Linked DNA regions of Alligator mississippiensis. The protein of the gene in region 1 purifies or fractionates together with the protein of each later gene. This does not show direct contact. Links are inferred from orthologs where the notes say so. Each region holds a gene or a part of one and is shown in the gene's direction. Other genes may lie near its edges.

The links.
Region 2: the proteins of PRDX1 (region 1) and thioredoxin purify together in Homo sapiens (affinity purification with western blotting; 3 studies listed by BioGRID, with this or other methods). This does not show direct contact. The link is inferred for Alligator mississippiensis from reciprocal best matches to the Homo sapiens genes PRDX1 and TXN.

The regions. Positions count from the first base shown.
Region 1 is NC_081828.1:2,599,653-2,616,252, reverse strand, and holds PRDX1 (peroxiredoxin-1), read left to right. Parts: upstream 1-7,940; 5' UTR 7,941-8,050; intron 8,051-10,428; 5' UTR 10,429-10,439; coding exon 10,440-10,545; intron 10,546-13,292; coding exon 13,293-13,446; intron 13,447-13,999; coding exon 14,000-14,122; intron 14,123-15,009; coding exon 15,010-15,140; intron 15,141-15,772; coding exon 15,773-15,858; 3' UTR 15,859-16,210; downstream 16,211-16,600. Other genes in the region: AKR1A1 (aldo-keto reductase family 1 member A1), read right to left, coding at 1,104-1,256. UniProt on the Homo sapiens protein: Thiol-specific peroxidase that catalyzes the reduction of hydrogen peroxide and organic hydroperoxides to water and alcohols, respectively.
Region 2 is NC_081826.1:165,823,197-165,839,843, reverse strand, and holds the start of thioredoxin, read left to right. Parts: upstream 1-9,468; 5' UTR 9,469-9,556; coding exon 9,557-9,580; intron 9,581-12,902; coding exon 12,903-13,007; intron 13,008-14,266; coding exon 14,267-14,326; intron 14,327-16,397; coding exon 16,398-16,463; intron 16,464-16,647. UniProt on the Homo sapiens protein: Participates in various redox reactions through the reversible oxidation of its active center dithiol to a disulfide and catalyzes dithiol-disulfide exchange reactions.

The DNA.
Region 1 (16,600 bases):
TGAAGGGTGTTGCTTTTGGTTGAAAACTGTTAAAAGGAAACAGTGTTTTAGGATGTGTTCCAAGGCATATCCACTTCCTTAGCTTTTGCTAAGATCAGCTATTTCTTGCTGTTTACTGAATTAAAAATTTCATCCATGGTAGAAAAAAAACCCTATTTGTCATGCCAGCTAGTGGGATGCCCTCACAGGAAAATTAAGCAGAATAATTTTTGTGGAAAATTATAATCTGTGCATAATTGCATAGATTTTCTTGTTTGCAGATAAGAGTCTATACCGGGGCCGGCAATTATTTCAGGCGGAGGGCTGCTTACTGGGTTTTGGCAAGCCATCGAGGGCCACGTGACAGGCAGCCAGGGGCAAATAAATATTAATTTTCTACATTTTGTAGGGGCCCCATGGGCCAGATAAAATGACCTGGTGGACCACATCCGGCCCGCCCTGGTCTCTACGGCGAACGCTCTCTCAAAATAGGTGGTACGGACTCTCTGTGACAAGCGAGCACTTTACAAGATAAGCACTTTATTAAATACTGCACACTTCAAATGCAAACTCAGACCTTTAACCCAAAGGACAAAGTATGCATGTAAAATCAGTAACTCTTGGCCTGCTCCAAGAACACACAGAGCTCTCCTGCTTCACGGGACACACTTGTATATTAATACTGTATAATGCAGGGGTGGCAGAGCCAGGGAGCCTGGAAAGAGAACAAATCTAGACAACAGAAGTCTACAATCTTTCTCCCCAGATGCTCCCCTTCACCCGACTGGTTTGGTTTTGCTTTGAGGAACACCACAGTTGTGCAAACCTCGACTGGTCCAGCAGATGAATAGAAGAGAGGATCAGGTTTTAATAAGACAGAGATGGAACAGGATAAGAAGTCAATAGATAATTAAGTAATTAAGATTAAACAGTGGCTTCCATTAGCATTTTTATGCCTATAGGGGTGTAGAAACCAGGAAAGAAAAACCCCAGGTTGCAAAGATGATGTGAAATAAACTGCAGGTTGGCTCAGAGACAGGGTAAACTTCAAATTGCACCGACTTAAAAGACTCCCTTTATCCATTTGCTTCTGAGAAGAGTGCCAGACACCACTGGTTTCTTACCCCAAACATTGCAATGCCTCCATGGTACTGGGGGGCTCTTGCTCCACCCTTCAGACACTGGCTCGCGAGTTTTTGTACAGCTCTTGCATCCTGCAAGAGCCCTTTTGCAGCGCAACTCCTCGTGCCAAGTGCCAGGCAGGCAGCCCCGAGCATCCCTCTCCTCTGCTTGCCACTTTGGCAGCAAAGAGACCTGCACAGCACCGCCCCCCGAGCAGCAAACCTAGGCACCCACCCCGCCGCTTGCACGTCTGGCTGTGCAGAAACCCGGGGAAGGGAGGGGAGGGGAGGGCAGGAAACTCACCGCACACCCGTGCCTCTTCCCTCCCTCAGCCTCAGCCTCAGCCTCAGCCTCAGCCCCCCGACCTGCCCAGCACAACGTTTCCGTTTCCGGCTTTGACATTAACTCACAATGTATCAGCCCATTTCCCCTTCCACGTGGGAGTGCCAGGGCACATGTGTTACCGTATTTCCCCCTTTGCCAAGCCCCTGGCGCGGCGCAGCCACTTCTCCGGGCGCTGCGGAAACTGACGTGTTGAAACTGACCAGGAGCGTGCTCGCTGCTCGGGGCTGGCCTTGAGGGGGGTTCTGCACACCGCTTTCACGCCTCCCTTCACCCGTGAGCCTGAACCAGGAACCGGGAAGAAAGTCCCCACAATAAGGAACCGGGAGCCAGGAATAAAGGATGCAAGAACTGGGAATAAAGTCCCCAGGAACCCAGAATAAGGATCCAGGAACCGGGAATAAAGGATCCAGGAACCGGGAATAAAGGATCCAGGAACTGGGAATAAAGGATCTAGGAACTGGGAATAAAGTTCCCAGAATAAGGATCCGGGAACTGGGAATTAAGGATCCAAGAACTGGGAATAAAGTCCCCAAAATAAGGAACCAGGAACCGGGAATAAAGGATCCAAGAACTGAGAATAAAGTCCCCAGAATAAGGATCCAGGAACTGGGAATTAAGGATCCAAGAACCGGGAATAAAGGATCCAGGAACTGAGAATAAAGTCCCCAGAATAAGGATCCAGGAACCAAGAATAAAGGATCCAGGAACTGGGAATAAAGTCCCTAAAATAAGGATCCAGGAACTGGGAATTAAGGATCCAAGAACCGGGAATAAAGGATCCAGGAACTGAGAATAAAGTCCCCAGAATAAGGATCCAGGAACCGGGAATAAAGGATCCAGGAACTGGGAATAAAGTCCCCAAAATAAGGATCCAGGAACCGGGAATAAAGGATCCAAGAACTGAGAATAAAGTCCCCAGAATAAGGATCCAGGAACTGGGAATTAAGGATCCAAGAACCGGAAATAAAGGATCTAGGAACTGGGAATAAAGTTCCCAGAATAAGGATCCAGGAACTGGGAATTAAGGATCCAAGAACTGGGAATAAAGTCCCCAAAATAAGGAACCAGGAACCGGGAATAAAGGATCCAAGAACTGAGAATAAAGTCCCCAGAATAAGGATCCAGGAACTGGAAATTAAGGATCCAAGAACCGGGAATAAAGGATCCAGGAACTGGGAATAAAGTCCCCAAAATAAGGATCCAGGAACCAGGAATAAGGGATCCAAGAATTCAGAATAAGGATCCAGGAACCAGGAATAAGGAACTGGGACCAAGGAACAAACTGGGAACAAGGAACCAACTTCAGGCTCGTCCTCCACCCAACAGTGGATTTTGCAATGGAAAATTGCTCGTGGAAAGCTTCTCCCTTTGGTGAAGGGGGAGTTTCTTTTCCCAGCTCTCTGCTTATGGGACAGTTTGCAAGGAGCTTCCTCCACCTCTGGGTTGGAAATTTCCCTTATACAGCCATAGAGAAATAGGGCTGGAAGGGACCTCCAGAAATCACATCTAGTCCAACCCTCTGCCTCAGGCAGGACGAGCCCTGTCCAAACATCCTCTATACTTTCATCATCACAACTGCAGTTGCACAAGTGGTGTGTGGCAGTCTGCAGCTTGGCTCTGTGGCTCATGAAGTTTGTCAAGTGTGAGACAACTCTGGGTCCCCTCCTCCAAACTCTTATCCTGTAGAGCAATTCATGGAGGTCAGTAGAGTTACGCCCGTGAGTAAGAGCTGGCAGAATCTGCTCCCCTGTGACACAGTCCGTGGGGGAAAACCATGACAGGATCACAGCAGGTGTAAAGAAAAAGTCCACAAACCACAGGGACTGTGGCCTCCAGCTTTGAATCAATTCATGTACATCCTGTCATGCTGCTGTCGGCAAAATATGTGCAGATGCAAAATGACTCAGCTTTTACTATTTCTTTTCTTTGTCTCTTATTTCACAGGCCGGGGGTTTCAATGATTCAGATTTCTAAACGACTAGGAAAGAGCTAAAAAATATTTTCAGGGGCATAACAAACTGCTCCCAGCTACTTTTAAAGACGTTTCAAACACAATCACACAGATTCAACTTAAATTAAGGGCAATAATATTTGTGTGAATTCTCCAGAAAAGTCTTTCTTCTGCTCCATTGACCCTGATCACATTAACAATATTTCTGCAAAGGGGAGGGCAAGAAATCCATAGGTTGGAGTCACTGGATTCCACAAAAAGTGCAATGTCAGGTACTTTGCTGTTGGGGTATTGTTTGCACGAGGAACTAGTGTACTGAGAGAACAAAGGCATATTTGTTCAACACACATCCTCAGGTATGCATTTCCTTATTTATACAATGAAGCTGAAAGGAAGGCTAACCTGACTGATATGTATGCAAATTTGAACTGTGGAGGTATGATCCTCCAAGGCAGCATTTGAATGGATCTTAAGAGAGCAGCATGTGGCGTTGTGTGTGTGTGTGAAATACCCCCATGCTTACTGCATTCCTGTCGCTACAGATGGCCAGGACTGAAGATCACACACAGCTGTAATTTTCTTCTCTAGATGTCCACATTTACAACTAAGTTACAAACTTTGAGGATTTGGAAAGCAGGTGGATTTAAAGATGAAATGCCAACAAATTCCTCACTGTACCAGGCCTGGAAGTGCGTGGTGGGGTCGTTCCACCCGTTTCTTTCTTCGTTGCAAATTGATGCAAACCTAGTAGAGTCTCAAGGTTAACCCCACTGGCTACTCATATAGGAGCACTTTTCCATGGAGCTTCCTATAGCTACAGGACTGAAAAAGCAGCAGCAAGATAGTGCAAAGGAAAAAAAAGAATGGAAAGAAAAGATAAAATAATGTTGAGGGCAGGGGAGGAAAGAGTGAAGTGGAAGAAAAGGAGATAAGCAAAGTGCCTGTCCTCCTGGAAACAGTAACTATGGACAGTTATTGCCAAGAAAATTGCTATTGGACACTATAGTATAGTATAGTATAGTATAGTATAGTATAGTATAGTATAGTATAGTACAGTAGAGGATACTTGAACATGTCAAAATAAATAAAAAATGTGACAATTAGAACACTATTCAATATGGAACAAAAAGGAAATAATTATATCCTTTTTTGTCAGAAGACGGCACATTTTTGTCATCAAAAGACTGTCATGACCCATACGATGATGATAAAAACGTAACATTGAGAGCGCATGGATAAAGAAAAGGAAAGGCCGTATGTTTTGATCTGAAAACACGACGATCACTTCAATTAAAGAAGGAAAAGCAAATGTGTGTTCAAAACCCGTGATTTCACCTGTTTTTACACTGAATTCCAGAGCTTCTACTTCTCATTCACAAAGCCCATCTTAGTAGGCCTAAATGGCTCAATTCGCTCTTGAGCGCATCAATTGAATAGGCACATCTACAGGCCTGAGAACCGTACAGCTTGGAAGACTTTCACCAGCAGAGCCCTGAGATGTCTATAGCCAAGCCAGGATTTTGCTCTTCTTTAACAAATAATTGGACCCTTAGATTTAAACGTGATGTCTTTGGGAAAGGGACTGTATCTTTGTATCTCTGTACTACCTGGTACAAAAGGCCCATTCCTGACTAGGGACTCTGGTAGCTAAAACCACTAAATAATAATTGGGATCCCTAGCAATAACTTTTGGGCTTAATTTTGTGTGTATTGGTGTAAAGCCCACAGATTCCTATTCTTCTCAATCACAGCGGTACCAGCCATCTCCTCCGTGCCAGCAAGTAAGCTCACTCTGCTGCCTCAAGGAGCTCAGAACAGGCTTCAGCTTGTCGTAGCAATGACATGCCCCCACCTAACAGTGAGGTAACCAGATCGCTGGAGAAGCACGCTCCTTTATCTGGAAATAGCAGCCACTGACAATGCAGCACTGGTTCCTTACCCAAAAACAAGCAAACCGCAAACCCCCGAAGCAGATGATGAAGAGACCGGCTTAGAAGGAAACGACAGAATACCACACACAACCTGAGGACACAGAGGTGTGAACGGAAAGGCAACGCTCAGAGCAAACGAGGGCAAATTGCACTGTGGCAGCTCCACACAAATGAGTAGACCCCGCGCTTGGAAGTGCACAGAAGAGAAGTAGCCCGAGAAAATTGCTCCTGATTTGTGCAAGGGGGGTTGATCCATGTTAGGGTGCAGCTACACTGCTAAGAGTTGCATCGTGTGTCAGCAATTCTTTCGCCACCGTTGAGACTGCCTGGCTTGCCACGTGCTAACCTAGACACATTTCCCTGGCCTATGTTTTCAGGAGGTTTCTACTGCGCGCTGCAGCCTCCAGGATCCTAAAGCACTTCAGAGGCGGCGTGCAAGCGAGTGCATTTTGTTTTTAACATTTAGAAAAATAAACTCAGTACCAAAAGACAGTCCTCGCTAAAACCGATCGGAACGAGTGTTCATCGGTGCACAAGAACACCACGCAACAGCGAGAATCGTAGCGGCTCACGCAGGCAGACGGCAGTGTTGCCAGACATACATATTGTATTTGTACACCACGTTCAACTCCTGCATGACAGATAATCATGAAAGAGGCCGAAATGTGCAATAATTCAGGGCAGATGCTCACCGTTTAAAGAAAATACTAACTTTCAAACAATTTTCCTTCTTCAGACAACCGTCTTTGTCCAGTCCCTCATACGCAGAGACTCAGGGGCACGTTATACACATGGCCGTGCCCAGGGTTCGATTTACAGGGGAGTTTGGGGGAAGGAGGGCTGAGCCCCCCATAAAAGACAAGACCCCCCCCCCCGGTAAGATTTTAAAATCAAAACTTGGGGAGTCTTCAGTTTTATTAGGGCATCATAATGGGCAGCCCAATTTTTTTTGCAGACCCCCCCAGAGTCAAAGTATAATTTGAACCCTGGCTGTGCCCCTATGGCTGTCAGTAAAATGACCAAAATATTTGCTATTTACAGATAAATGAGTCTGAATCTTAATGGTAAGGACTACAGAAATCCTTTGGCTGTGCAGGTTCTGAAATATTTGCAATATACGGCAATTTGGAGGTTCCAGTACAATCTACTTTTATCGTCTTCCAATATTGATTGACGTTTAAAAATGATGCCTTTTGATGGCTTCCTTTACGTGGCAAAATATTAATGTTTTAATACATGGTAAGTAAATGGCAGTGCAGCCCAGAAATAAACAGGCATTGCCAACTCCCATTAAAGCCAGTCTTACAACTGCTGAGATTGCCTCCAAGTATTTTCTCGCTCCACTCAATGCTGTGCCTAAACCGCACCACAAAAAAAGACCTTTGCATAACTCTCATGAAAGTTTCAGAAGTTGGATCATTAGTCCCGACAGCTCCTCCGTGTCCTATAAAGCAGCCAAAGTATTTCAATATTCTCTGCTAGGCAGCCAAGTCAAAGCTCAGAGATCGCCTTCATTGTTTAATTTTAACCCTGCATCACATGACTCGCCTTGCGCCGACCGCTGGAGCCGAATTCGTGAGAGCAGAGGCAAGAAACAGAGTACGGCTTACGTTTGCCTTCTAACGTTGCTAGCAGGGTGAAAGGGTTTTGCTCGTATACATGTGTGCACGTGTATAAATGTATGCATATATTTTGATATAGTCATGTATAAAAATAGATGTAGGCAGACAAGGTTATTTGGGTAAATGTGATATCTTTTATGAGACGGAGAACCTTGTCTGCCTATGTTCCTAGACCAACGCGGCTACTGCCAACACCCCCTCGACATGGTAATCCAGACTGTGCAAACATACATGTTTGGTAAAACATAGTGAATAAAGGAATAAATACATAAAAGATAGATAGATAGATAGATAGATAGATAGATAGATAGATAGATAGATAGATAGCCAACACCCCCAAACCATGGTAACATACATATATGGTATACATATATTACCATGGTTTGGGGGTGTTGGTAAATATATACATATTTAGTAAAACACGGTAAGTGTATATAACCATGTTTTGGGGGTGTTGGTGGGTAGATACACATACTTACACACACACATATACAACACATACACACATAATACACACACGTACACATACATGCACACACATGTACACACAATTCACATGCACACACACAATACATGCACACACGTACACACACGTGCACACACATAATTGACACGCATACACAATACACACACACATATATAATAATGCACATATATCACACACACGATACACACACATATGTACACACAATACATGCACGCACACATCTATATGCACACACAATGCAGACACGCATGCACGCACATCTATATGTACACACACAATACATATATGAACCATGAAACTGTATGCACACGCGATTCACACACGTATCACACGAGCGCACACACGCCCGGCCGGGGGCGCGGCGGGGTGTCCCGCTGCAGAGTGATGGGCGGGGCGAGGCGGGGCGGGGGCACGGCGCGTGGGAAGGGCAGGACCCGCCCCGCCCCGCCTCGCCCCGCGCCGCTCGCGAGAGCCGGGCGATATAAAGACGGAGCCCTCCCCGCTCCGCCCCGCTGCCTGCTGCGCTCCGTGCTGCGACGTACCGCTCCGCACTGCATCGTTCCGTGCTGCGCCGCACTGCATCGCTCCGCTCCGTTCGTCTGTCCGCCCGCCGGTGAGTGCAGCCCCGCTGCGGGCGGTGCTGATCCGGGCAGCTCTGCGTTTGTCTCCTGTGCAAAGCCGGGCCTTTAACAACGGGGGAAAAGGCCCGGCTTCGCGTGCGGGCCGCGATGCTTTGCCTCCAGCCTGACCCAGCCCCCCCTTCCCTCCCTCCCTCCCTGGTCCTGGGGCCCCGGCCCGGAGAAGAGCATCCCGCTCCTGCAGCGAGGAGACGAGCGCGGGGGAAGGGGGGCATCCCCACGGCCTCTCCTCTCCTCCCTGCGCCGGAGAACGGGCTGCAGAGAGGCGGGCGTGTGGGCTGGATGTTGGGAAACCTTTCTCCCGAAGAAGGCAGCGAGTCTGCTGGGAGAGTCTTCACGCTCACACTTGTATGCCAGGAGGTACATTGTTGTTGGGGCCGTCGCACTAAATGACCGCCCGGAGAGATGGCGGCATCTCCGTCCCGGGAGTTTAAGACCTAAAGCCCTGGCTGGGATGACGCAGCTGGGGATGGCCCTGCTTGTGAGCAGCGGGGTGGGCTAGATGTGACCTCCCTTCCAGTCCTCCTTGCCTTACGATTTTGCAAGGCTTGGCGCTCACGACACTGGTTTCCAGGCCGGGCAAACTGTTAGCCCAGGTGATGTTTAATCCTAACACTTCAGCCCGGGGCTCTGGCAGGGATGGAGCTGAACGTGTGGAAGAAGCAGCCCGGTTGCAGGGTGGGGTTGGCAGCTGGCAGGCCCGCTGGCTCTGGAGGACGGTGGGCACATGCCTTCCTGGGGGTTATGAAATGCCCTTCGTTCTTTGGTGAAGTTGTGGCCGTGCCGTGGGACCCACCTAGTCACCTGGGGTTAAATGATGGTTGAGAAACCTCTTGTCTAATTAAGAGATTTGCTGGATGGGGGGAGGATTAAACTGAACTACTGGAGTTGCAGCTTTTAAAGAACTGGCAGAACTAGAGACCGTGCCCATCTGCACTTTTTGTTTTTTTAAGTACTGCAAGAGGAAGTATAACTAAAAAAATCCTGAGATGTCTGCACACCCATCTGGTCAGGAAATGCTGTGGTTTTACCTGTTTGTTTTTAAAAATAATTTTAATATGGGAAGGTGGTGGATGTTATGGAGCAAGCAAATGTAGTGGGGAATGGTAACCAAGTTTCCTCGTTACAGTCTCAAGTGCGGCAGTTCCTAACGCCCAGTATAAAATCTTCCGCTTTCCTGGAGGAATATGTTAATGAAGTTTTTAGATTTTGCTTGTCTCTGAAATTAAGAGGCCTGGAGTCTTTGCTCTTAAATCCACGCAGAGCTGTATCCCTGGATACAAAACCTGCTTCTAGGCTGTTGTGTGTGGAGGCCCAACCATTGAACCTCTTGACCGGGTGGTTCAGCCTCTTCGAAGGCAATTATTTACCCAGGCCAAAATAAGTATGAAATACTTCTGAAATAAAAGGAAGACACTTTTAAAGAATTAAAACTTCCAGTTTTCCTTGGACTAAGAAAAGTTCTCTATTCTTACACACAAGTTTCTCTTTACCCTTAGTTTTGCCTCATTGATAATGCATTTGATAGGTTTCTTACTATGGCTCTGCAATGACATTAAACAGTTTGGTGAAGCTGGTACGCGCTTACCAGGATAGCACATGTTCATACTTGGATATTTTAGAGCAGGATGCCTTTGCTGCATTGCATAGTAGTGTCAAGTCTCTGCTTTTGCTAACATCCCATGGAAGTTGGTATCCCTCAAACTGGACTAGCTAATGTAAGACTTGCTCTTCCTAAGCCTAGCAAGTGTTATTTATGTGCTTCAAATCAATAGGACAATGGAGCCAGCGGTCAAGGTCTTGAACTGCTTATCAGGAAACGTGGAACAGAGAAACTTCCTTGTGACGCAGCGTGCGGATAGGATCAGGGTCCGTTATGCTGACACGGTGAATGTGGGAATTGCACTGTTGTTGGTGGAAGAGCAGATGGCTAGCTCTTTCTGCTCGTGCACTTGTGTTAGGACTCCAGATAACTTGCACCCCGCCGAAGTTCAAACACTAATGTTTCTGTGCCCTCGATAGGGAAGACTTCCCCCGAGACTACTTGAGTGAAGGGGGAATGCATGACTTGCTTTCACAAGCATCTCTGTATAGCTGCGTGGGCTGCACTTCTTCCGTGCTTCTGTACAAAGTATGAAATAAAGGAAACTGGAGGGAGCAGTTTGCTACTTGTCATGTCGGCTGAGCCTTTTGATGTCCAAGCTTTTTCTTTAAGAAAAGCTGTAGCAAACTAAACCACCAGTATTTTGTGCTTAGTAGGAACTGCTAAGAGATGACCAAAATCATGACTCTGACTCCCTTTAGACACTTAAGGGGAAGATGTGTCCAAGTTATGTTTGTGTCTCCATTTTAGCTCCTATCAAGATGTCTTCAGGGAACGCATTTATAGGGAAACCAGCTCCTGACTTCCAGGCTACAGCTGTAATGCCGGATGGGCAGTTCAAAGACATCAGGCTTTCTGACTATAAAGGTAAATTTGTAATTGTGATTGGGAGTGGGGATAAGGATGGCTCTTCTGCTTGGCTTAAATCTGTTTTAAATGCATTTCTGAAAACAAAGCTGCCTGTGATCCTTGAGACATTGAACTAGTTCAGTGGTTCTCGCCCCTCTTTTGTACTGGGACCCACATTTGATGCCCAGTCCCCAGTGTGTGGGGCAGGGGGGACCCCAGGCAGCCTCTCGCAGGCTGGAGCTCTGCCAATCTGCAAGGGAAAATGCAGTTTCCCATGTTGTTTTTCCATGTTAAATGGCTTCTCCTTTTGAAGTTTGTTCATGACCCTTTCATATTCTTGCAACCCACGTGTGGGTTGTGACCCCCGGGTTGAGAAACGGTGCCTTAGTTGAGGCACTCATGCTGTGAACAGTTCCAAGTGCAGACTGAAGCACGCTTCTGACACGGGAGCAGGCAAAGCCAACATCTCATTGCAGCAAATCTCATTAACCTCAAACGTTAATGAGCACTGAACTTGCCCTAAAGTTTAGGGTGGACTTTATTCGTGTTGCTTATTATCCTAGAGCAGAGCTGATGCAATGTCTCAAACACCATGGGAGAGCAAAACCAGGTCTCCAGTGACTTTATTTTTTTGGCAATGGAAGTATTGTAACTCTTCCAGGTCGCTAATGAAGAGACTTCTTTCTAGGACTCTAGAGAAAGTGACTACTTTGCAAAAGGTGGAGAAACCTAAAGCCTAAAACTGCAGTACTTTGTTTCCTATCTCTGCATTTTTTTTTTTTTTTTTTAAGCACATGAGAGCTCATGGAAACAATGTATCAATTAACTAATACATACAGTAAAACGTGGTTAATCAGTCACTGGAATAGCTCTAGACTATGGTCCTACTGGTGAACTGAATCTCTGCAGTAACCCTACTAATCTGTACACAATGCACTCGGGGCTGGATTAACCCTTTTATGGGCCCTAGGTGAACAAACTTGTGGGTTTGGGCTGGTCGAGATGTGCCCCCTGCCCCAACCCCGGTGCTCCCGCCCATGGGGAGTAAGGCTTGGACCTGCTGCCAGGGGTGGCGGCAAGGCCAGTGGAGGGGAAGAGAGGCAGATGGGGCCATTTGCATTGCTACGGCAGAGGAAAGGACCAGGCCCCCTTGCAGCTCAGGGCCCTAGGCTTGTGCCTAGCTTGCCTATGTGTTAATCCAGCCCTGACGACACTTAGACTCGTTCATTGTCTGTTAAAGCAATACATAGATGTATATCTATGCTTTAAGAGATGATGAATGAGTCTAAGTATGTACATCTATATATATAGAAGAGTGCTTAATGGTGCAGTTTTACTACAAAAGTTCAATGCTCACTACCCACGAGTCACATGATTGTGATGGCGTAAAATAATCGGACAAACTTCTTCTATCTTGGCAAGGAGTATAAAACAATTTTTTTTTCCTTCTGCAAGAAGGAATGATTAGGCACGTGGTCTTGCTGAGCTAAGAACAGTTGAAGCCTATTTAATACCTTGTGAGCATCAGCTGGCCCAACAATGCTATGGGGGAAGATGGTTGGTATAAAGGGTCCTGAGAGGGGTAGTTTGGTGTTAGTTTTGAAGTTGGGCAGAAGGCAGGGTAGATTAGCAACTTATTCACTAACTCTAGAGATGCATAAGCTTTAAGCAGCAGCTTGCTCTGAATGTAACGAAGCAAGCTGCTGCATCTCTGACTTGGGCTTATTTTATATATTAATCCCTTCCAACCTTGTTTTCTATGCTTCTAAATTTAGTCATCATTGCCAGCCCCCTTGGAGGGATGAATTGAATTGAACCAGTTTACTTCCACGAGCAGCAGCTAGTACAATTTAACTCGGACAGTGGTTTCGAGTATCCAGGGAATCAAGATCTTATCTGGATGCATATGGTGAAGCTTACAGCAGATGACTGAGCTGAGAAAAGAGCAGATGACCCTGCTTCAATGGCTGAGAGGGGAAGGGCCTTGGTCAGACTTATGGAGGTTTTTAAGCATTGCTAGCCTGCCCAGTGGACTCTTCAGCCCTTGGCTTCAGGCTTCCCATACAGCACATCATTATATGCCTAAGGAAGGAAACTTAGGAGCCAGACTGGTCAACTGGGAGCCATCTGAGCTAGTCAGGAGAGAAATATTGAGCAGACCAGAGAAAGGGGCAATGGGATTAGGTTCTTGGTGGATCTGTTATGTGAAGGTGCTGAGCAGAGGCACCTCCTCTACTCCAGGACACTAAACCTTTGCCTGAGGGCCAGGATAGCCAATATCTTCTTGGGGAAACCAAGACTGTTTCAACTGATGGCTCTTGCATGTGGACAGCCTGTGTCTCTCTTGGTGGCTTGCATTAAGCTGCCTTGCTATAGAAACCTGCAGGCAGCAAGTTTTGGTTATGTTCTGGATGTAACTACAGAGTCTGGTCCCATGCAGGCCTTTCCTCTTCCAGTGCTGAGAGCTTGCTTTGGGGCCCTAGTGTGAGCTACTGCTCTGAGCAGCTCTGAACCTGCATGCTGGCACACAGGCAGCCTTGTAAGTGCCAACTGGCAGGACTTGGGTTTTCTGGACTTACGGCAGCACTAAAGGTCAGTGGCACCTACCTGCTCAACTTGGATCTTCTTAGATCTATTTGGGCACATGGTTCTTAAAGGGTTGGGTTGGTTTTTCATCATTTTACCACTTACTTCACACTCAGGGCATCTTAACTAAGGAACTACAACTTGCCTAGAGAACAACTTTTGACTTTTTTCTCCTCTAGGAAAATACGTTGTGTTCTTCTTCTATCCGCTGGACTTCACCTTTGTTTGTCCAACTGAGATTATTGCATACAGTGACAGGTCTGATGAGTTTAAGAAAATCAACTGTGAAGTCATTGGAGCTTCTGTGGACTCTCATTTCTGCCACCTTGCATGGTAAGCATCAGTATTGTTACTTCAGGTCCGATACAAGGCTCTTCTGGCTGGAAGACTTGAGCAGGTGTCGTCTTGGGCATCTTCTTTTCTTTATCCTTCCTGTAGCTTACGCTAGTCTTCTCTGGAGAGCAATATAAAGCTCACAATTTAAATTTTACCTCTTCTGCTATATTCAAAGCTTAACTGAGGCTGGCCAGTGGAAATGATCCCAATGAAATGCATCTTATCAATTTATATGCCTCTTGGGTAGTGCATCAGTATGTTGGATTACTTTTTCCCAACACACACAATGTTAGTAGTAATAATCACTACATAGACTGGGGGTGGGCAAAATACAGCCTGGCTGTGGCCCACGGGGCCCCTAAAAAATTTAGGAAATTAATATTAATCTGCCCCTGGCTGCCTGTCATGCAGCCCTTGATGGCTTGTCAAAACTCGGTAAGTGGCCCTCCACCCAAAATAATTGCCCACCCATGACCGATCAACAGCATGCCGTGGTTTGGATACCCAACTGGTATGTTCCTGTTCCTGATCTGTTGCCTTTCCATCGCAGGGTCAACACTCCTAAGAAACAGGGTGGACTGGGCAGCATGAAAATCCCGCTCGTTTCTGATACAAAACGCACCATTGCTAAAGAGTATGGCGTACTAAAAGAAGATGAAGGCATTGCTTACAGGTAAGGCTGCTGGCCACAGTACCCTTCCATGAGATGTCAAACAGCGTGTGTTGAGTCATTTTGGCATTTTATATTACTCCACTTGGGACTTCATGTACTTGGAAAGAAATCTGTCAAATGAACACTGTTCACTTTAACTAACTTGCTTGCTAAACTGTTCTGTAGTCTTAAACCAATGCTTTTAGTAAGTAGATGTGCACGTGTTGGAAAGATCACGTGGTTCTTCTAAAAATATTTGGCTTCAATGGAAGTACCAGTACCTTGCCTAACCCATGTTGTTACTGGGTGCCATAATGATAGTTTCCATCCTTTGACTTCAGTGCTGGTGGGGGTGTTTTGTGGGTTTTTTGGAGGGTTTTTCTTGGCTAAGTATTCCTCTACTAGCAAAATTATTTTATTGTTGTTTGTACCCCCTGCCCTTGACATGTCCCTGCACATTCACTTCTCGGGCAGTGTTCACACTGTCGGCGTGCAACAACGCCATTACTCACCTTGCTTCAACTAATCAGAAGCTCCTCTGCCATTAAATTTTATGCCTGCATCCCTTCCTTGACAAAGTGCCACATAGCCCCGGGGTATTTGCGCTCCAGTTTGAAAACCACTGCTCGACTTGAGTTAGTTTTTTCATTCAGTATAGCATGCGGGAGTAAACCACAATGAAGCTGTAGCAAGACAAGTGATATGCATGCCTCCTAGGTCTAATTTATGTAGCAATTAGCTCGTCTAGTCTTCCATCTCTTTGACTATACGTGCCAAAAACAAATGCAGTTTCTTTACAGATCTGATGCTACATAGCTTGTGAAATCCTCTGGAAGTGCAGCGAGAGGTCTTTCAAAAGCATGTCCCGAACTGGCTTTAATGTCTCTAAACTTATCTTCTTTCTGCAGAGGTCTGTTTATCGTTGATGATAAGGGAATATTGCGTCAGATCACCATCAATGATCTCCCTGTTGGCCGCTCAGTCGATGAAACTCTCAGATTAGTTCAAGCGTTCCAGTTTACAGATAAACATGGAGAAGGTGAGAGGTCCCTCGAGGTTTTTCGGGTTTTTTTTGTGGTTTTTTTTTTTTGTTTGTTTGTTTTTGTTTTGTTTTTTTTCTGAAGGGTACCTAAAAATAGCCTCTTCTTTCTATAGAAGTGGAACTATTATAGCCAATGGGAAGAAAAACCCAATAGCCAGGACTTCCTGAAAACCCCTAGTGCTCTGCGACTAGAACTAGTCGGTGCACCAACCCCACGGCCATAGGGGAGCTGCTAGAAACTGTGCAGGTGTGGAAGTGCAAGGAATACACAAGATGCCGATCTGGCTTCAAAAGTAGCTTAGTGTAGACAACATCTCAGTCGGCCAGTATTCCTCTGTTAACAGGTGACTATAAAAGCACTCAAACAGGAATTGTCAAGACTAAAGTTGAATGAACAACCTAAATTTTGGCTGTCTAGGGTGTTCTTTGATGGTCTGGGTATCAACATGGGTAGAGCAGAACCAGTAACTAGTACAGAAGATTAATGCGCCGACTGCAACTTCAAAGTATTACAACCTGTGTGTTCATATAAAGAGTTTCTGAATTGCCAGCTCACTCCATCTTCTAAAACCAGTTCTGTGAGCTACTTCCAGAAGTCTGTGCTGAACACTGCTTGCTTGTCTTTCCAGTGTGTCCTGCTGGTTGGAAACCTGGGAGTGAGACTATCAAGCCTGACGTTCAGAAAAGCAAAGAGTTTTTCTCCAAGCAAAAGTAAACTGGCTGCATGCGCTTCTGTGTTAACTGGAGGAAACTAGTCTGCCTTCCACGTAAGAACAAAGTCATCAAGCCATTGAATGTTTGGACTTGGGTTAAATTGCTATATCCAAGTCAAGGGAAGTCCTGTCAAACAGCTGTAGATGTCAACCCATCTTCTGTACTTGAGGGGAAAACTAGTCCTATTGACCAGTAACTTTGTATAGAATCCTAATAATCTGTATTTGTACCTCATGTCCTAGTGACCTGTAATATGACCAGTGGAGTATAGATGTCTGGTCTGGTGTTACACTTAATACAGCTAAGTTTCCCGATTTCTGTAACTCCTATTAAACTCATAGGTTTAAAAGAAACACTTTTTTGTGTGCTCTCTTCTGAAACTTCAGACGGCTGCGGGATGTGAAGTAGTTTTGAAACAGCATGTCTGTTTTGATGGATTGTGGTGAAGGTAGAAATCAATGTTTTTAGAAGCAGTTTAAAAAGAGGTTTTGTAAAACAGGCAGAGCAATTCTTGGATAAAGTTTATAAAATGATCAAGTGCTTTTTTTTAAGACATGGGGGCTAGGGCTTCTTGGGAGGGTTTCCTCTCAGAAGTGGGAGACTTGCTAGTCTAAAGGCATTCACCCATTTTTAGTTGATCATGGATTATGCTGGGGGGAAAAAAAAACTCCCTGCAGCAGGGAGTCTGGTGTGGACTTGCCCCACCACTCATTTGGCTTGGGCCAAAAGACTGAGCACCACGG
Region 2 (16,647 bases), on another chromosome or scaffold:
AGGTCCCCCATTACCCACCTGGGCCCACGCCCTTGCTTTCCCCTAGCTCATGTGCCCAAGGACTCAGAGGGGCTCTATTTGTTAGAAAGGGAGGGGGAGGGGGCTCTGTTGGTTGAGGGGGGAGGGGCAAGAGGGCTCTATGTGTTGAGTGGGGAGGGAGAGGGCGGGGTTGTGGAGGGAATAAAGCATTTTGTTTCAACCATGTGCATGTCCTGAGAGTGGTGCTGGAGGTGTGCAGGGGGTAGGAGTTGTGTGGGCAGCAGGGCATCAAGGCTGGCAGGCTAGAGGGGGGAGTGCTATAAGAGGTGGTCCGGCAGGGCCTCCCATACCCAGTGCCCTTTCCCCCACTGGTGGGTGCATGGCTCACCTGGGGCCTGGCTGGTAATACCCACTGCTGGCACTGCCACTACAGGATGTATTCTCACCCCCAGGCTGCCTCTGTCTGGTGTGCCTCCTTTGCCCAGGCCTCCCTGAACGCCTCTCCCCAAGCCTCGCAAATATTGTACAGCATGCACATTGCAATGATGACCCAGGGGAGATTGTTCTTGGCCATCTCGAGGTGGGCCATGAGGGACTACCAACGGGACTTCAAGTGACCGAAGGCACATTTGATGAGGGTGTGGGTTTACCCGAGGCACCATTTAAAATGGCCCTGTTGGGGGTCCAGGGGGCTGGTGTGGGGCCTCATGAGTCATGGGAGTAGTGGGTAGACTGGGTCCCCGATGAGGAGGGGTGGGATGACGGCAGTGGGCCAGCAGGACAACAAAGGTGGCCAGAAGGATCTGAGGACCCTGGCCCTGGGTGCCAGGGCTAGGGGCTGGGTAAGCCATGCCTGGTAAGTGCAGCTAGGGAAGGAGTAGAGCGGCCACAGGGGACATAAGAGGCACCTGTTTACACTGTTACCAATGTAGACCAGTTTGCCACTAGCAGTCTTGGACAGATTGGAAAGGAAAAAGCAACATGGCAGAGGTCTCCCAGTAACAAAAGGAAAACACAGTCATACAGGAACCCAGAAAGAGGGAGAGAAGGAAGGCACAACGGGGTTAGTAAAGACAATCAAGAAGCCACATGATTTTTATTTTTGTGTTGAGGATTAAGGAGTGGAGCAGGTATCATCATGAGTTAAACGTCCATTGTGTTTTAAATGTCCATTGTGTTTTGAATGTCTTCTACAGAAAGATAGGCAAGGCCATAGATAATGGATGGGACAGCTGAGGCAAAATATACATTTTTAGTTTCATGTGATGGAGGAAACTTCTTGCTTCAGAATACCCATAAGCCAAAGACAGTCCTCTCAGTTCACTTACATCCAGAGAACTAACCCTCTAGCCACCCAGAACTGTTAAAGCTTGCCTAGAAGTTAAGTGTGTGTTAACCTAGTAGGATTGTAACCATTAATATGATGTCAAGGACTGCAGGCATGGCAGTGCTGCATGTCCTTGAAATTGAATCTGAGTTTCAGTTTCCCTATATTCTCTAGTAAGTTACATGAATTGCTGAAAGATGAGGCCTGATTCTGACTGAAAGCTGTTCAGCACCAAGTGGAAGGAAAAGAGAGGCTTTATACCACCTTCCAGGCTTCCCTTTATTTTAGTCCTCAGTAGGCATATCTACATGTGCACATTAATGTGATGCAATAAACTCTGGTACTTAGCACACCAGAGTTCATTGCTCCCAGACACACATTCCACATGCACCTGGGATCACAGCATGTTAAGTCGGGTTGGAGCATCCCCAAATGGCAGGGGACCCAGGAGGTCATCCTGGCAGCCCAGGGCTAAATCCCCAGCTCAGTGTGCTGCAGAGAGGCTGGCTGGTACACAAGGTTGCTTCGGTACAAGGCAGCAACAGTAGTGCTGCTGCTGTGCTGCTTACAAAGTCACTTCCCAGTCTGTAGGTGTGTTGGTGATCCTTTTTCTCTAGATGCAGCACTTTGCACTTATCTTTGTTAAATTGCATCCTATTTTTCTGCCCACATTCCCAACCTGTCCAAATCTGCCTGAATCCGCTCCTTACTCTCCACTGTTTACTTTGCCCTATTATTTGGTGTCATCCATTAATTTAGACAAGGCAAATCCCCTCAGTTTATTTATAAGGATGGTATGGGATACCTTGTTAAAGGTCTTCTTGAAGTCCAGATAGATAACATCCACCTCGACTCCTGCATCTAAAAAATTGGTGGCCTTGTCATAAAAGGAAACTAGGTTAGTCAGGCAGGACCTACCTGCTAAAAACCCATGTTGGTTACCCCTCCACATCACATTAGCCAGCAGGCTCCCACAGATGTGCTCCTTGATCATTTTTTCTAGGACTTTCCCAGGGATAGAGGTAAGGCTGACTGGTCTATAGTTCCCTGGGTCCTCCTTCCTCCCCCTCTTAAAGATTGGGATGACATTGGCCCTCTTCCAATCCTCCGGAACCTGACTCGAGCACCATGAGTGGAACGCTCATATATCCTTGCCAGTTGATCAGCTATGACCCCTGCTAATTCCTTCATTACCCATGGGTGGAGTCTTTCTGGTCCTGGTGATTTGAATACATCCAGTCCCTCCAAGTGTCTTTTTACCGTGTTGGCACTGACTGCCGGTTGGCTGATGTTCCCTTTGTTGGTGTCCGTGATGTATGTTGAGGGTTCGTCTAGATTCCTATTTAAGAAGACAGAGGCAAAAAACTCATTGAAGAGCTCTGCCTTGTCCCTGCTATCCGTCACTAAGCCCCCCTGCCCATCCTGTATGGGTTCTATGCTACCCCGCCCCCTCTTTTTGCTCCCAACTTACCTAAAGAAGGACTTTTTATTGTCCTTAATCCCTGATGCTAGCCTAACTTCTAGAGTTGCCTTGGTCTTCCTTACCAACTCCCTGCAGTTCCTCCTATCTGTTACCAATTGCCCTAGTCTGTCCTGTAGGGGTCCTGTAGGGGTCCATGCGCCTTCTTTTTGCTCCCTATATGCCTGAAGAAGGACTTTTTGTTGTCTTTAATTTTTGTTGCCGGCCTGAGTTCCATTTCTGCTTTGGCCTTCCTCACTGCTTCCCTGCAAGTGCGAGCCAAGCAGGTATACTCCTCCTTGGTGGCTACCTGCTGCTTCCACAGTCTGTATGCCTCTCTTTTCCCTCTAGGCTCTCCTGGATTTCCCCGCTCAGCCAAGAGGGTTTTTGGCTGTTTTGCCTCCCTTTATGTGCACTAGGATGGTCCCCTTTTGTGCCTGAAGCATCATTCCCTTGAGGAACGCCTGTCAATTGGCCTGAACACAAAGGAATGCTTTGAAAACTGACAGCAGTCAGAGCACAGCCTGGCTAGTCCCCTAGGACACCACCTATTACTTCAGAAATTTCAGAGAGGGGGACTTTGTTCCTTTGCTGGAAAGGTGTGGGTGTGTTACTATGAAGTACAGTAACCCTGGGTGCCTACAGACGAGGGAGGAAGCTGCTTTGGCACACTGTAATTACAGTGTGTCAGAGCAGACTTGATTGAGTCAGCTGGAGCACAGCAATTACTTCCACCAGGGCCGCCCGCTCTCCCCAATCCTTTTTATCAGCACCATTGAACCCCTGGCCCACCACATCAGGCAGGACCCCAGGATGCATGGAGTCCCGATTTTTGGAGGAAGCAAAGAAGAAACCAAGGTCCTGGCCTACATGGATGATCTGAACATCTTGTTCTGGAATAAGTGTGCTGTAGAGAGAGCCCGGAGGTACACATGGGTCTACAAGGCAGCAGAAGGGGCCAACCTTAAAGTGAGCAAGAGTACCTGCCTGGCTATGGGCGAGCTCAGGGATCTGGAGTCCCTGGGATCTCAGTCCCCCATGAGGGGGCAAAGATCCTCAGGGTGGAGTTTGATCCTGAGCTGAGTGAAAGGAGGGCCTGGGAGAAGAAGGAGGACAAAGTGAAGCAGAAATTGGGTCTGTGGCACATGCGCTGCCTCTCCATGGGGGGCATGTGGCACTCATGAAAGCAGTGTTGCTACCAGTGCTTCTGTACACCGCACTGGTCTTCCCTACACACAAGTGTGTCACCCACAGAATCCAGAGAGTCACGTGCATCTTTTTCTGGGGATCCAGAATGGAGAAGGTGGCAAGTAAGACCCTGTACAAGAAGAAATGGGCCAGGGGCAGGGGGATGCCTGACATCCATGTGTTCCTGTTGGCAAGGTACACAAGACAGATCTGCAAGCTGGCAACTCGGCCAGCAACCAAAACAGCCTGTCTTGTCAAGTATTTTACAGGTCATCTCCCGAGACCGTGCTGGGTGCATGCACCAGCCAGAGGGAGTCCGTGCACCATGGAGAGCCCCTGGTTCTACAGTGTGCTGAACGAGTTCTGGAGCGAGTATGAGCTACCGAAGGAAAGCCCAGAGACCATGTTCAACCACAGGAAGATACAGAAGGCAAGACCATGGAGCTGCTCCATGATGACTACTGTCAGGCCATCTAAGACCAGCTCTTCCACAAAGACCTAAGAAAACACCACAGAGACCTGAACTGGCTCATAGCTCATGGTGTACTCCCAGGGAAGGTGTGGAGGCGCAGAGCGAGACGAGAGTCTAGAAACAAACTGCCCCAGGGGAAGCTACCAAAGTGAGAATGAGACCATCGACCACCTCCTTTGGCTCTGCCCCTATGCCAAGGGAGTGTGGAAAAAGGTAAGCCAGCTCCTTGAGGAAGTGACAGGAGTCAGGTTGATGACAGGGGAGGCAGCGCTGTACAGACACCTAACTAAACATCAGGGGTCCCAGACAACCCACTTTGACCAGTTTGTATCCTGCATCAGGAGTGCCCTGTGGCAATGCAGGAACCTCCTGATGTACAGTCACACTAAGTTCGAGCAAACGGATTGTGTTAAAATGTTTCTGAACGAACTCCAGTCCTACTACCAGAAAGTGGTGGGAGAAGATGCAGCCAACTCCACCTGGAAAAGGGACACATGGCATACATAGGCTGTTCAAAGTCCTCCCAGGAAGGGAAGTGGATAGGGAGAACGAAGGGGACAATGACACAACTGGACCTGGAGATAGTGAAGAGGACAACAGGATCAGCAACAGTGGAAGCGACAGCGGCATCTACACCGATGAGGACAGAGAATGAACTGAGGAGGGAAACCCCAAGTCAGAGCCTGGACAAAGGGACTGTGTTTAGGTTAGGGAAGGGCAGAGGGTGGGTGGGTGTGAGCACAGGGGAGCAGGTGCAGTTATTGTAACAGGTGCACGGCTTTCTTAAGGTGGTTCTAAAAAAAAGGTGCGATGGAAGTCTATGATATAGTTATAGATATAGATTTTAATTTTTAAAAAACCAAAAAAAGTAGTAATTACCTAGGGTTGCCAATTCTGAATCTATTCTGGGGTGTTTCCAGAATTCCAACGTGCCCGTGAGAGACAGAGCGAACGTGCCTGCATGCTTGCATATATCAGTTAAAGATTAGTGTAGACTTTACATCAGGAAGGCAAATGCACATTACAATTACATTTTAAAAACCCACTGGATTACTATATATATACTAGATTCAACATTTAATATTTATTTTAATGAATGCCCTATCATTTATCTTCTGGGTGACTCTCAGCAGTATCCTGGAGGTTTATATCTAATTCCTGGAGACTCCAGGACAATCCTGAAAGGTTGGCAACCCCATAATTACTGCACTCCAGCCAGCTTCCGCATCATGTGTATCAACATCCCGTGCTTCAAAATGGCAGCGGGGGTGCTTTATCTAAAGCTCGTCAAACAAACTTTATATAGAACGCCACCACCTCTATTTTGAAGCTTGGAGATGCTGATACACGAGACACTCTCGGCAATTTAATTAGAAGGCTTGCTCCACCCCACCCCTGGAGCATGTGTATGGATGCCCTCTGAGCCTACCTGATAGAGACTTCTGACCCTGGGAATTTCCTGAAGCTTGACGAAAGGTGCTAACTGCCTGCACTGGAACACGCCATGCTGTATAAGAACTGAACACAGTTTTTGCCCCTTATTATCACAATGAGGTTTAATTTACTCCAGAATTTTTAACTACAGAGCAAACACTGAAATACAGGTGATGAGCCCCAAAATATATAAAATACACCAAAAGGTACCAGAAAAAGAAAGTTTCATGCAGAGTTGCATCTGATCTGGAAACTACTAATGGAAATTTTCATGCAAATATAAGGAATATGTCTGGATCCAGCAAATCTTTCAAACTGGTGAAACTTTTTAAGGGTGATCACTGTAAAACTATTAGTGTTATTTTAAATATATATAAGATTTTAAATATATAACCAGAGTAAATTTAACTTATGATACGTGACCACTCAAAGTTTCATAATTTCAGGAAGTATAATAGTTGGAGCTGCTAAACTAACATAAACTAGCTGAACCTTTTCTATTTATACAAGCTATAAATAATTTTACGTCACTTCACAAGCTCCAGTATCAACAATGAAAAGCTGGTAAGGAAACAGAGAAGGAGGAGGGAAAGCAGTTCTGGGGGAAGGGACTATGCGTGTTTTCTGTTCATCATTACACAGCACAGAAATACTTCCCCCTCATCATTACACAGCATTTTTTCCCAGAGTCTCTGAGGAAAACCGAGGACTCATTAAGAGAGCTTAGGCACGCCCACAGCTGTGACTAATACCACAACATCGCATATACAAGGCTGTTTCTCTATTTAATCAGAAGAAGATTTAGAGGCAACATTTTAAAAAAGCCTTACCTATTCACCTCTTTTCCCACCCAGATCTGTCATAGAATATGGTGGAAATTCCTTTTATTTATCTTAACATCTGTTTTCAATTTTCCTACAAGTCAGAGTGCATTTGCACTTCTTTCTTATTACATAAAGTATTTTTATTCAAACCTCAGTGTTCTTTATTTTGCTTGGTTTCCTTAACGGCAGAGGTTCCCAACCCCCGGGCCATGGCCTGGTACTGGGTCACAAAGGGTGGCTGCCGGTCCGCAGGAGGGTTGGCTGCTGGATCGGAAGTCCAGAAGTGATCAGCATACTGCAGACTGGCAGCCAACCCTTTTTTATACTGAGTATATACTCAGTATAAAAAAAGGTTGGCTGCCAATCCACAGTATACTGGTCATTTCCAGTCTCCATTATGCTGGTCCACGGTCACTTCTAGTTTGCAGTCTAAAATGGTTGAGAACCACTGCTTTACAGACAGCATAAACATACCTATGACAGTGCCACAGTTTGGGATTTGCATGATTATGGGCATGTCTACACATGCATTTATACTGGCTTAAATTTACTACACAGTAAACCAGAATAGGCCGGCATCTACATGTGTGGGCATTATAGTATGCATTAACACTGTATGTAGACTGACTTGGGACTAGTTAGTACCAAGTCAGTCCACACACACAGTGTTACTGTGCAGTAAGACATCTACATCTGCGTTACTGTGCAGTAACAAATTGGGTGTAAATTTGCAGGTATCAAATTTACATTCAAATTGGCATAAATTACCACATGTACTGCGCAGTACAGACACAACTTGACATATGCATGCCCATACTGTGCAGTAAATGAGTTGTGTCCATACTGTGCAGTAATTTCCATTACTGAGCAGTAAATGCACATGTGTAGAGTGCCCTATATTTCTCTGAACGTTTATCTGCAGTTTGTCTCTGGCCAAGGTCTTCCCTTCTTTAGTGCAGTATGTATTGTGACATAATATTTATACTTTGATTATTTTGTGGCTTCTGATGGGTCTTTTATTTATTCATTCAGATTATTCTAAGCAGCACAAGCATCAGGTTGGCACATTGTATATGTCAGCATTTTCATCATTATTTCATCTTTGTGTATGAAAGATTGTGTATTACCTTTTAGTGCAACGGATGTGTGTTGTGCTTTCAACAAACCATAAATTTGAGGATTTCAGGAGTTGTGAAAATTTGGGGGATGATGTTTTGTGATAGTTAGTACGTTTGTATGAGGGTGCTCCAGAAAGAAACAGCATTTTTCAAATAAACCCACTTTCTATGCAATGAGTGGGAAAGTACACAGCAGCAGGGCACACTGATAGTGTTGTCAAAGGCACCCAACGTTTACAACTATGTAGAGAAGTGATGTTGTCCAGTAGGTGATCATTGTACACAAAATGGTTTTATTTTAAAAGCACTATTATTTTCTCAAACACCCTTGTGTTCTGTAATTTTAGAGCTCTGTGTGCACTTGGAAGTTTTTGGGGCACTGTAAATATTGCAGATGTTCAATACATTATGTGTGTTTTGTTGTTCTGGTGTGTACATGTACATTTTGGAGTACTAGAAAGCTCTGATCAAGGCTGCTCAAATTCTTATCGTGGCTCAGTTTTTCAATAGAAAACCACAGCTTTGCCTAAACACAATTCTTCGTGAAAAGCATCTATCTGTGCTCATACCTGCTTTCCATAGACAAACAGAATGTCAGTTGAAAAATAAGCACCTGAAACCCATTTATTCCCAGTCAAAAGACAGAAAATGTTGAGCTTTGAACATCCTATAAAACATCTACATATTTTTTGGGGAAAAAGGCCATTTTTGCATGGTATCTAATTTTCATGTCTCCTTCGGATTTGGGGGCTGTCCTCCTCTCAGGGCCGTCTTTCAGCTTTGCCAACGTGTTTCAGTCATTGCCTCACTTAACTATGTGTGCATGCAGAGAACTGGTTAGTGGGCAGGCAACCAGGAGAATTGCCTGGGGCCACGTCACCCAGTGTTACTGCACACCGGCTCCGTCTGTGCACGTTCGCCACCCAACTGCATCAATAAGCAGCTCTCCAGGAGAGGTCTGTAAGACTGCTGTGCTGGGCCTGTTTCTCCCGCGGGGCAGAGGCCCAAGCGTGTAGGACCGCAGTGCTCAACCTGGTGCTTCTGCTGGCCAGGAGGTGTGTGGCCAGTCTGCGGGCCAGATCAGACCCACCCACTGCCACGACTGGGGCCGGATGCACCCAGTCCCCATGCTGCTGGACCAGACCTCTGCTCTGCCCCTCAGCCAGCCCCTGCACGTGCCCCTGCTCTGCTCCAGCGGCCTCTGGCAGCCCCAGATACCCAAATCACCTGAGCTGGCGCAGAGGGGCTCCCCGCGGGTCCTGAAACGTGGGCATTAACCCTTGCACCACTGCCCTGCCACCAAATGTGAGGGCCCAGTGGGCCAGACGGCACCAGGGCGCGGACAGGGGCTGTCCTGACCCCTGCCAGCCCCATGCAGGCGGCACGGGGGCACTCGGGATTTCCTGGCAGATCTCTCCCTTTACTGGGGAAAGGGATTCCCTAGCTCCCCACCCCCAGGGAAGCCTTTTTTCTTTTTTTTCCAACCTTGTTACCCTGTCGCGTACAGCAAGGGAGAATGAGAACAACCCCTGCACGCATGCGCTAAACTACACCCCACCCCTGCTTCCGGCTCCCTGGACCAAAAAAAAATAAGGGCCGGGAAGACGACTGGCTGAGCCGCGCATGCGCCCATCTGGCCACGCCTCCTCCTCACCGGCCTATATAAGCTGACGGCCGGGCGGGCGGCTGGCTATAGGTGCCCGTTTCACGTTAGCAGTCGGCAGAGTGTGCGCGAGCGAGCGAGCAGGCGGCACGATGGTGAAGAGCCTGGGGAGCCTGGTGAGCGACCGCTGCGGGGGGGGAGGCGCTGCGGGCAGCTCGGCTCGTTCCCGTCGGGGGGCGCCTCGCAGGCAGTGCTGGCTGAAGGCGGGGCAGGAGAAAGGGGGCTGGGGCGGAAAAGGGTGGACACGCATGTCCGCCTTTTCCTGAAAAAGGCTCCCTCCCCCCCCATTGGGAAAAAGTCACCCTCTCCACACACCTTCGTTCCCCCCCCCCCAGCTGCAGGGCGGGTCGCCTGAGCTTCTCTCCTCCCCCTGACTGATCTTCAGTCTCATTTTCTGCCTCCATTTTTCTACCTACTATGTAGACTAGTCCCGTTTTTTCTTAAAAATTTCCTTTTTTTCTTTCTTTTTAAAAAGCATGCTCTGAGGGCTCTTGGGCTCACTGAATAACTGTCCTGCTCTTCCCTGAGGATTAGGGAGAGCAAGGCTCTTATTTTTCCTTGCATAAAGACAGTAGTGTAGGCTGGTGCAGCACGAGGCAGTCTGTTTTAGTAATCCTAATGATCTTGGAGCTGTGGGAGCTTCCAGGCGGGAGCTCCTTGCTGTGGGCTCAGGTGTGGGAGGGAAGGCAGGGCGGCGCATCTTGGGGGGGAAGGTGAGGATTTGGTTCTGAAACAGCAGAAGCTTTTGGCTTGATCTTGGCAAGTGTCACATGAAATAAATCATAATTCAGAAAAATGCAAGCACAGCTAATGTTAGCAGCCAGAGTTGCTGCATGATTAGTGCTCTAGATTAAATTCCTCCTGGCACTTGCTCCTACTCTGTAAGGCCTCCTGCACTGCTCTAATTGGGGCAGAGAGGAAAAATCCCCCTCTGCTCCCAGCTATAAAAGACAAATTTAATCCTCCAGTCTTTGTAGTTGACATTCTCTAATTTACATCATAACCTCTGACTAGTGGAACTGGGTCCTAGTACATGAGTCATCCTCTGGTCACATGGCAAGCTACTTACTCGCTGTTATGCATCTGAGTATGGAGTTAAGGGCCACCCATGCCAGCAGGTAACTGGCATTAAAGGGCTTTTGATTTGGGACCAGAAGGAAACTGGTAGATGAAGATGCAGGATGGTTGCTAATTCCACTAGCTGGTTAGCTAAACTTCGTTCACCCATACACTCGCATCTCAGTCTAAAGGAATGCACTGAGTAAGCTGTCTTCTGCCCCGGTAAATGTACACTAGTAATGCCTGAAGATGTAGAGAAGGCAAAAGCAGGGGTGGGTATTAAATATACTGTGGCCCCTGCTATTTGGCCCCAGTGCTGCCCCTGTGTCTGATGCCCCATGTGGGTCTGGTTTCCCATGGTATGGGGCTGGACTGGGCCCATGGACTTCCTTTCCTCCCCCAGCATACCTGATCCAGCAGATGTTCCAGCTGGTCTGTGACCCAAGCTGCATTCAGTGCAGATCCCAGAATGCATGCTGGGTATGGCACAGTCTGGCCAAAGTGGCAGCTGCACTGCATGCAGTGTATACCCAGCCTGTGCCAGCAAGGTGCAATGTGCAGGCCAGATCCTAGACAGGCTGAAGCAGGTGCTGCATGCAGTGCCTAGCCTGGGGTGGCTATCCCTACGGCTCTGACTGGACCATGCATGCCACACAAATCACTTATTCCAGCTGCGCTAGGATCTGAGCTGCAGAAAGTGCAGGTCCTGGACAAGCTGGAGCAGCTGCTGCAACAGGTATGCTGAGATGGGGCCAGAGGGTCAGGGACAAAAGGGTGAGGGAAGCCAGATGAGTTTGACTCCCTGGGCTAAAGGGAGTGGTGAAGAAACTTGCTTTCCTGTGCATAGTTACTCAAGAGCATCAGTTGGCATGCATATACAATAACTTGCACAGTTATGACTCTGATTACTTATATCAGTTTGAACTGTGTATTATCAGGGCACTGATGTAGATACCTATTACTCTGGTATACAAGGTCAGTGCTTTAAAATACTGTATGATCAAAGAGCTAGATTGTGGTGCATTTAAAATTGCACTTTCAGGAATAGCTGTGTGGAAAGATCTGGTGTACAAAAAGAATCTCTGATACAGGAAGTCTGTGTTTTTGCTTGGATTATACCAGATTGCCTAGAATAAAGGAGTTCACTTAGGCTCTGAACTTGTCAGTGTATAAAAAGAGCGGCATGGGGGGGAAGCCCTGCTTAACTTGTTAGATCTGTCTGATGAAGCCTGACCACTTGTACTTTTTCCTCTACTGGTAACCTGTATGCATTATTTATCAGGAACATGTACTATAACTCAAGTCTAGAGCCTAAAGTGGCATCTTTTGATTGGCTGCAGTTTCTGCCAAGACACCATGTCTGCCATTATAATTTGGTGGGGAAAATGGCTTGACTCCGAGTTTAGTCACCTTTTTTTTTTTTTTTTTAATTGGACGAGTGGTGGGAACTTCTTCAGAATTGATGATAGTGCTTACATTTAGTTCATATTGGCTTCCAGTTTTTAAATAAGGTTGCCAGCTTCAAACTGCATTTAAGGCTTAAATTTATGGAATTAAAATCACTTGAATACTTTTTAGGAGCAAATAATGTACTTTCACTTAAGACTGAAAACTGTTTGCTAAACATCTGGCATCACACTTTAGTACTAAACCATCTTCTTCGTGTGATATTGTCTTGGACCAGCTAGTTCCTTTAATTTTAATTTCTTTCAAAGCTGAGACACAAATTTATTGAACTTTAAATGCAGGAGACTTCTCTTTCCCACCCCCACTTTAATAAAAGCTAAATGTGGAGAATGGAAAGCTACAAGTTCTAATACCTTGATGTGGTAGCCAAGTTAATTCACTAACTGAAGATAACACTTTACCTCCCCCATTTTTGACATTTTATGCAAAGCATATTTTGCTAAACACTTTTCTTGTATATCAGCACACTTAAAATTGTGTTGCCCTATTAGTTAAACATGTACTAGATGTGTTAATGGAAATTTGAATTAAAGTTAGACTTGTATTCCAATACAGCATAACATAAGAGACATTTAAGAAGACATCATTATTTCCTGGGACTTAATCTGAACAAAAGTAAAACTCTAGGTGGCATGTCTACTCTTCTGTTAGTAAAAGGTATTAAATTAGTTACAAAAACATTTTATTGTTAAACTGATTCTCATTGTGGATGAGGTAAATGTCTTATTTTGCATTTGTACAAAATGTTGACACTACTTCTTTCTTCATAATGAACTCTCAGCTGCTCTAAAAAGAATTCTTAAGCTCAAGAGCACGCTGGTCGTCAAGAGGCAAATGACTTGTATTCACTTGTAGGAATTGAACTTAATGTTTTTAATTTTTATTCTCTTATTCTTCCCTGCCCCCCCCCAGGCTGAACTTGAGACTGAATTGAAGGCAGCTGGTGATAAACTTGTAGTTATTGACTTCTCTGCTACATGGTGTGGACCGTGCAAAATGATCAAGCCTTTTTTCCATGTAAGTAACTGGCAAACAATACTCACTTCACTGATTTTTTTCAATGGTAAAAAAACTAATGTAGTGCTTCAAAACTACTTCATTATGAGAGGTCTGACAAGTCCCCAGCTGACATAGTCAAGAAGACCTTTGTGCAGTTTGTAACCACATCCCTGACATGGTAGATGGTTTTTAAGCCATTTTACATGGAATAATTTTAAAGAACATGCATCAGTGAGACTTTCTTTTAACTGCACTGTGGCAAATACAGGGTCCAGAGAATGTAAATAAACCTGTTCTATTTGATACCAGAGTCTTGCATCGGCTGCCTTCAGAAGCCCATCTGAAATACTGATGTCACTCTGAAATTGTAATTAAGGCTAAAATGATATCAATGTTTTATATTGCTATATGGTCTGGGTAGCTGTTCAAATCTAGAATAAGTACCTTGCATTTTGATTTCCCCTAAGACAGTGGTGTCAAACTTGTCCAAGGCCTTGGACTGAATCAATACTGCAGGGTGTACTTCTGGGCCAGATCTGTAGGGCCAGCAGCAACTGCAGTGTGGCTGTTTGTGTGGCCCTACATGCTCCCTGGCTTCAACACAGTATTCTGACAGGGTACTGGATTATACGCTTTCCCAATCTGCAAAATTGTAAATGCACATGGAAAAGCAAAGCAGCTCTACTGTATTAAGTTTGGATCCATTCCCTTTTTGAAATGGAGATGGACTGTCTCAAGAATAATCCAATTAAGCACTCTTGCTCAAAAGAAGAAAAAAGGAATACAATGTTAACTTTAAAAGCAGTTCAGTAGTAGGGAGACTACTATCTTGCAAACTAGATCAAACTAGAGAAGAATATGTGTACAGCTATAAATCCTCAACTGACCTGCCTGTGTCTGGAAGGTTCTAAAGCTTAATATTTGTGTGTCCCTATAGCCATCATAATATTTCCAGAGCAAGTTGTTGTGAGACTTAATGATTTGGAGGCAGAGCAGGGAATGCCCAAATAAAATCCTCCTCCTAATCCGTTCCGATTGGAGATGGAAAAGTAAAGTCATGGATGCTTTGGTGACCATCACTGACACTATACTGTTAACTGAACTCTGGAGACCAGAATTCCAGCTAGTAAAATAGCACTAATGGAAATGGGACTTCATTTTTTTTTTTTAAGTGGGGAGGGAGGGGAAATTAGTCTTTCCCCAAAATGACACAAAGCTTGGGGGGGAGGGTAATAAAGCTGCAGCTAGAACACTAATCTTTGGTATTTAAATTTTAGGAACTTGTGGAAAAATATAATAATGTAGTATTCCTGGAGGTTGATGTGGATGATGCTCAGGTAAGGTCTTGAATTAATACAGTGGAAAAAATAATACTATTGGTCATATAACTCCTGACAATAGAACTAGATTTTAACATGCAGTGTAATACTTTGTTTGCTGAAAATGGGTAGTGTTACTCTTGCTCTCGTATTTTCTTAGCTTTACAGAGCAAGAAAGCTAAGGACTGACTGACCTTTCAAGAGTGGGGGTGTCTTATGTCCTACTGGGGAAATGTTAAATTATTATAGTGGACTTATACTTGTGCATTTGAACTTTAATCAATCTGGCTTTGTACTACTGTCTGGCAGACTCCATAGTCTTCACTGCAGGCATAGGGAAGAAAGGTGCTAACAAGATGACTTTAGCTGCTTTACCAGGACTGAAAACTCAGATTTACACTTTAAGATAGCAAGTCTTCAGTCCTGGTAAATCAGCTAAAATTTGCTTGGCCCTTACAAGTGTAACAGCACTCATAGAGCCTGCCATGCTCAGGCCTTGATCACTTAATCTTCCCATGAACTTTGGCATTACTGGACCAGTACTGTTTCCTTTTTGACTTCAGTACAAATAAACTGATGGCATGTCAAAAGGCAGGCAAGTTGTCTAGCTACTGCTCTGAAACGGAGTACAATCACTTTCAGGGATTGTGAGTTCAAGAGCCAATGTAAATTCAACTTTCTCCTTGCTGCTGTACTCTGTTAGGATTGTCTAACTTATCCCTGCTTCTCCCTGACAGCTGTTTTTTTGCCAATATCTATTAAATTTAGAAATGTTCTTTAGTGGGGAAAATAGAGTAGGAATGCTGCATGGCTTCAGCTTTTTTTTTTTTTTTAATTGTATCAACATGAGAAATCCTCATTTGGTAAGATTACATGTTGAGAGAGTTCTTACAGTACATGTTCTGATATTTGAACTGCTGTAAACAACATTAGTCTGTCAAGTATGCAGTCTGACAAGTGCACATACGACAGGCAGGCACTCTAGCTTGCAAGTTAACTTCATAGCCAAGACATGATACTGGAAAAAATAATCTATGCTGTTTTGGCAGGAGCAGTTCTATGTTTTTACACATAGGATTAGCTTCTAATGTTACCAGATGTTTGGCATTGTTGTGGGTGGTGCCCTTAGATGGGGAGCTTTCTTGAGGCTTTTTTTTTTTTTTTTTACAAGGTAATGGTGTGCATTAATTGGCTGTCATGCAATCACTTGAAAGGGCACTAAATACCTATGTTGTTGAGTCTCACCTGACCTCTGCCAAAGAATACATATTTCTCAAACTTTCTCTTGTATCCATTCCCCTTGCTGTTAAGCAAGAGCTTACCCAAGGGTTGTGTCCCAACTGCCCCTAATGGCAGGAATTTCTTTTCCTGTTATTGCACCAGTTAAATTTGATTGGCTGAGACACATAATTGAAATAATGAACGCACTGCCGTAAGCTTCAGTGTTTAAGGATTCTCCTTCTGGCCTCGGACACACTTGAGCAACAACTTCTTTAGCAGGAACACTTCTTGGAATTTGGTAGCTCAACCTATCGGTGGAGTACATCCTCACAACTTGCTTGGAATGGGACCTGACACAATGAGGCTTCCTAGTAGCTGTGTGGACTCTAAAATCCTGGGTTTGTCAAACAGTCCCCCAGAGGAAACTAGAACTAGTGCTTATACTTCAGTGAGTGAGATCGTCTGAAGGGTGCTGCAGAAAGTGCAAGGAGATAAGTGGATAAGGGCAGGCTCTGGCTTTGCCTGCCTGGACACTCTCCTGCCCCTATTACCTGGCTCCTTTGCAAAGAGGAAAGCACTGTAAGTCTCTGAAATGGGGGTACTGCTCAATTTGGATAAACTTGGAGGTGTGCCTTGATTCTGAGGGGTGCCTCTTTACAACTTAAGAGCCACTGCTCTAAATCTAGAAAAGATGAGGAGACTATAGCTTTTAGCTGACTAGTAGACTCCACTGGAATGTACCGCTTTACTTGGTAGCAAGTACATGCTTGGCTCCAGTCTGTCCTCTAGCAGTTTTTAGACAGACTGCTTTCTAGCTGTAACTAAAGTTTTATATCTTAAGATTCCAGTGAAACTTCCTCTCTTCTAGGATGTTGCTGAACATTGTCAAATCAAATGCATGCCGACATTCCTGTTCTACAAGAACGGCAAGCGGGTAAGTTTCCACATTCCTGGTGGAGCAGGTGTGGGGAAAGTAGCCCAGGGAAGGAGAGCACTGGATGCTGAAATCCTTGATCTGAACCCAGATCAATAGTAGCTATGTTTAGGCCTAGAAAGGCTTAGAATCTTAAAATTATCTTAAAATTTAGATAATTGCTTTGCATGATCTTTTGGGGGTA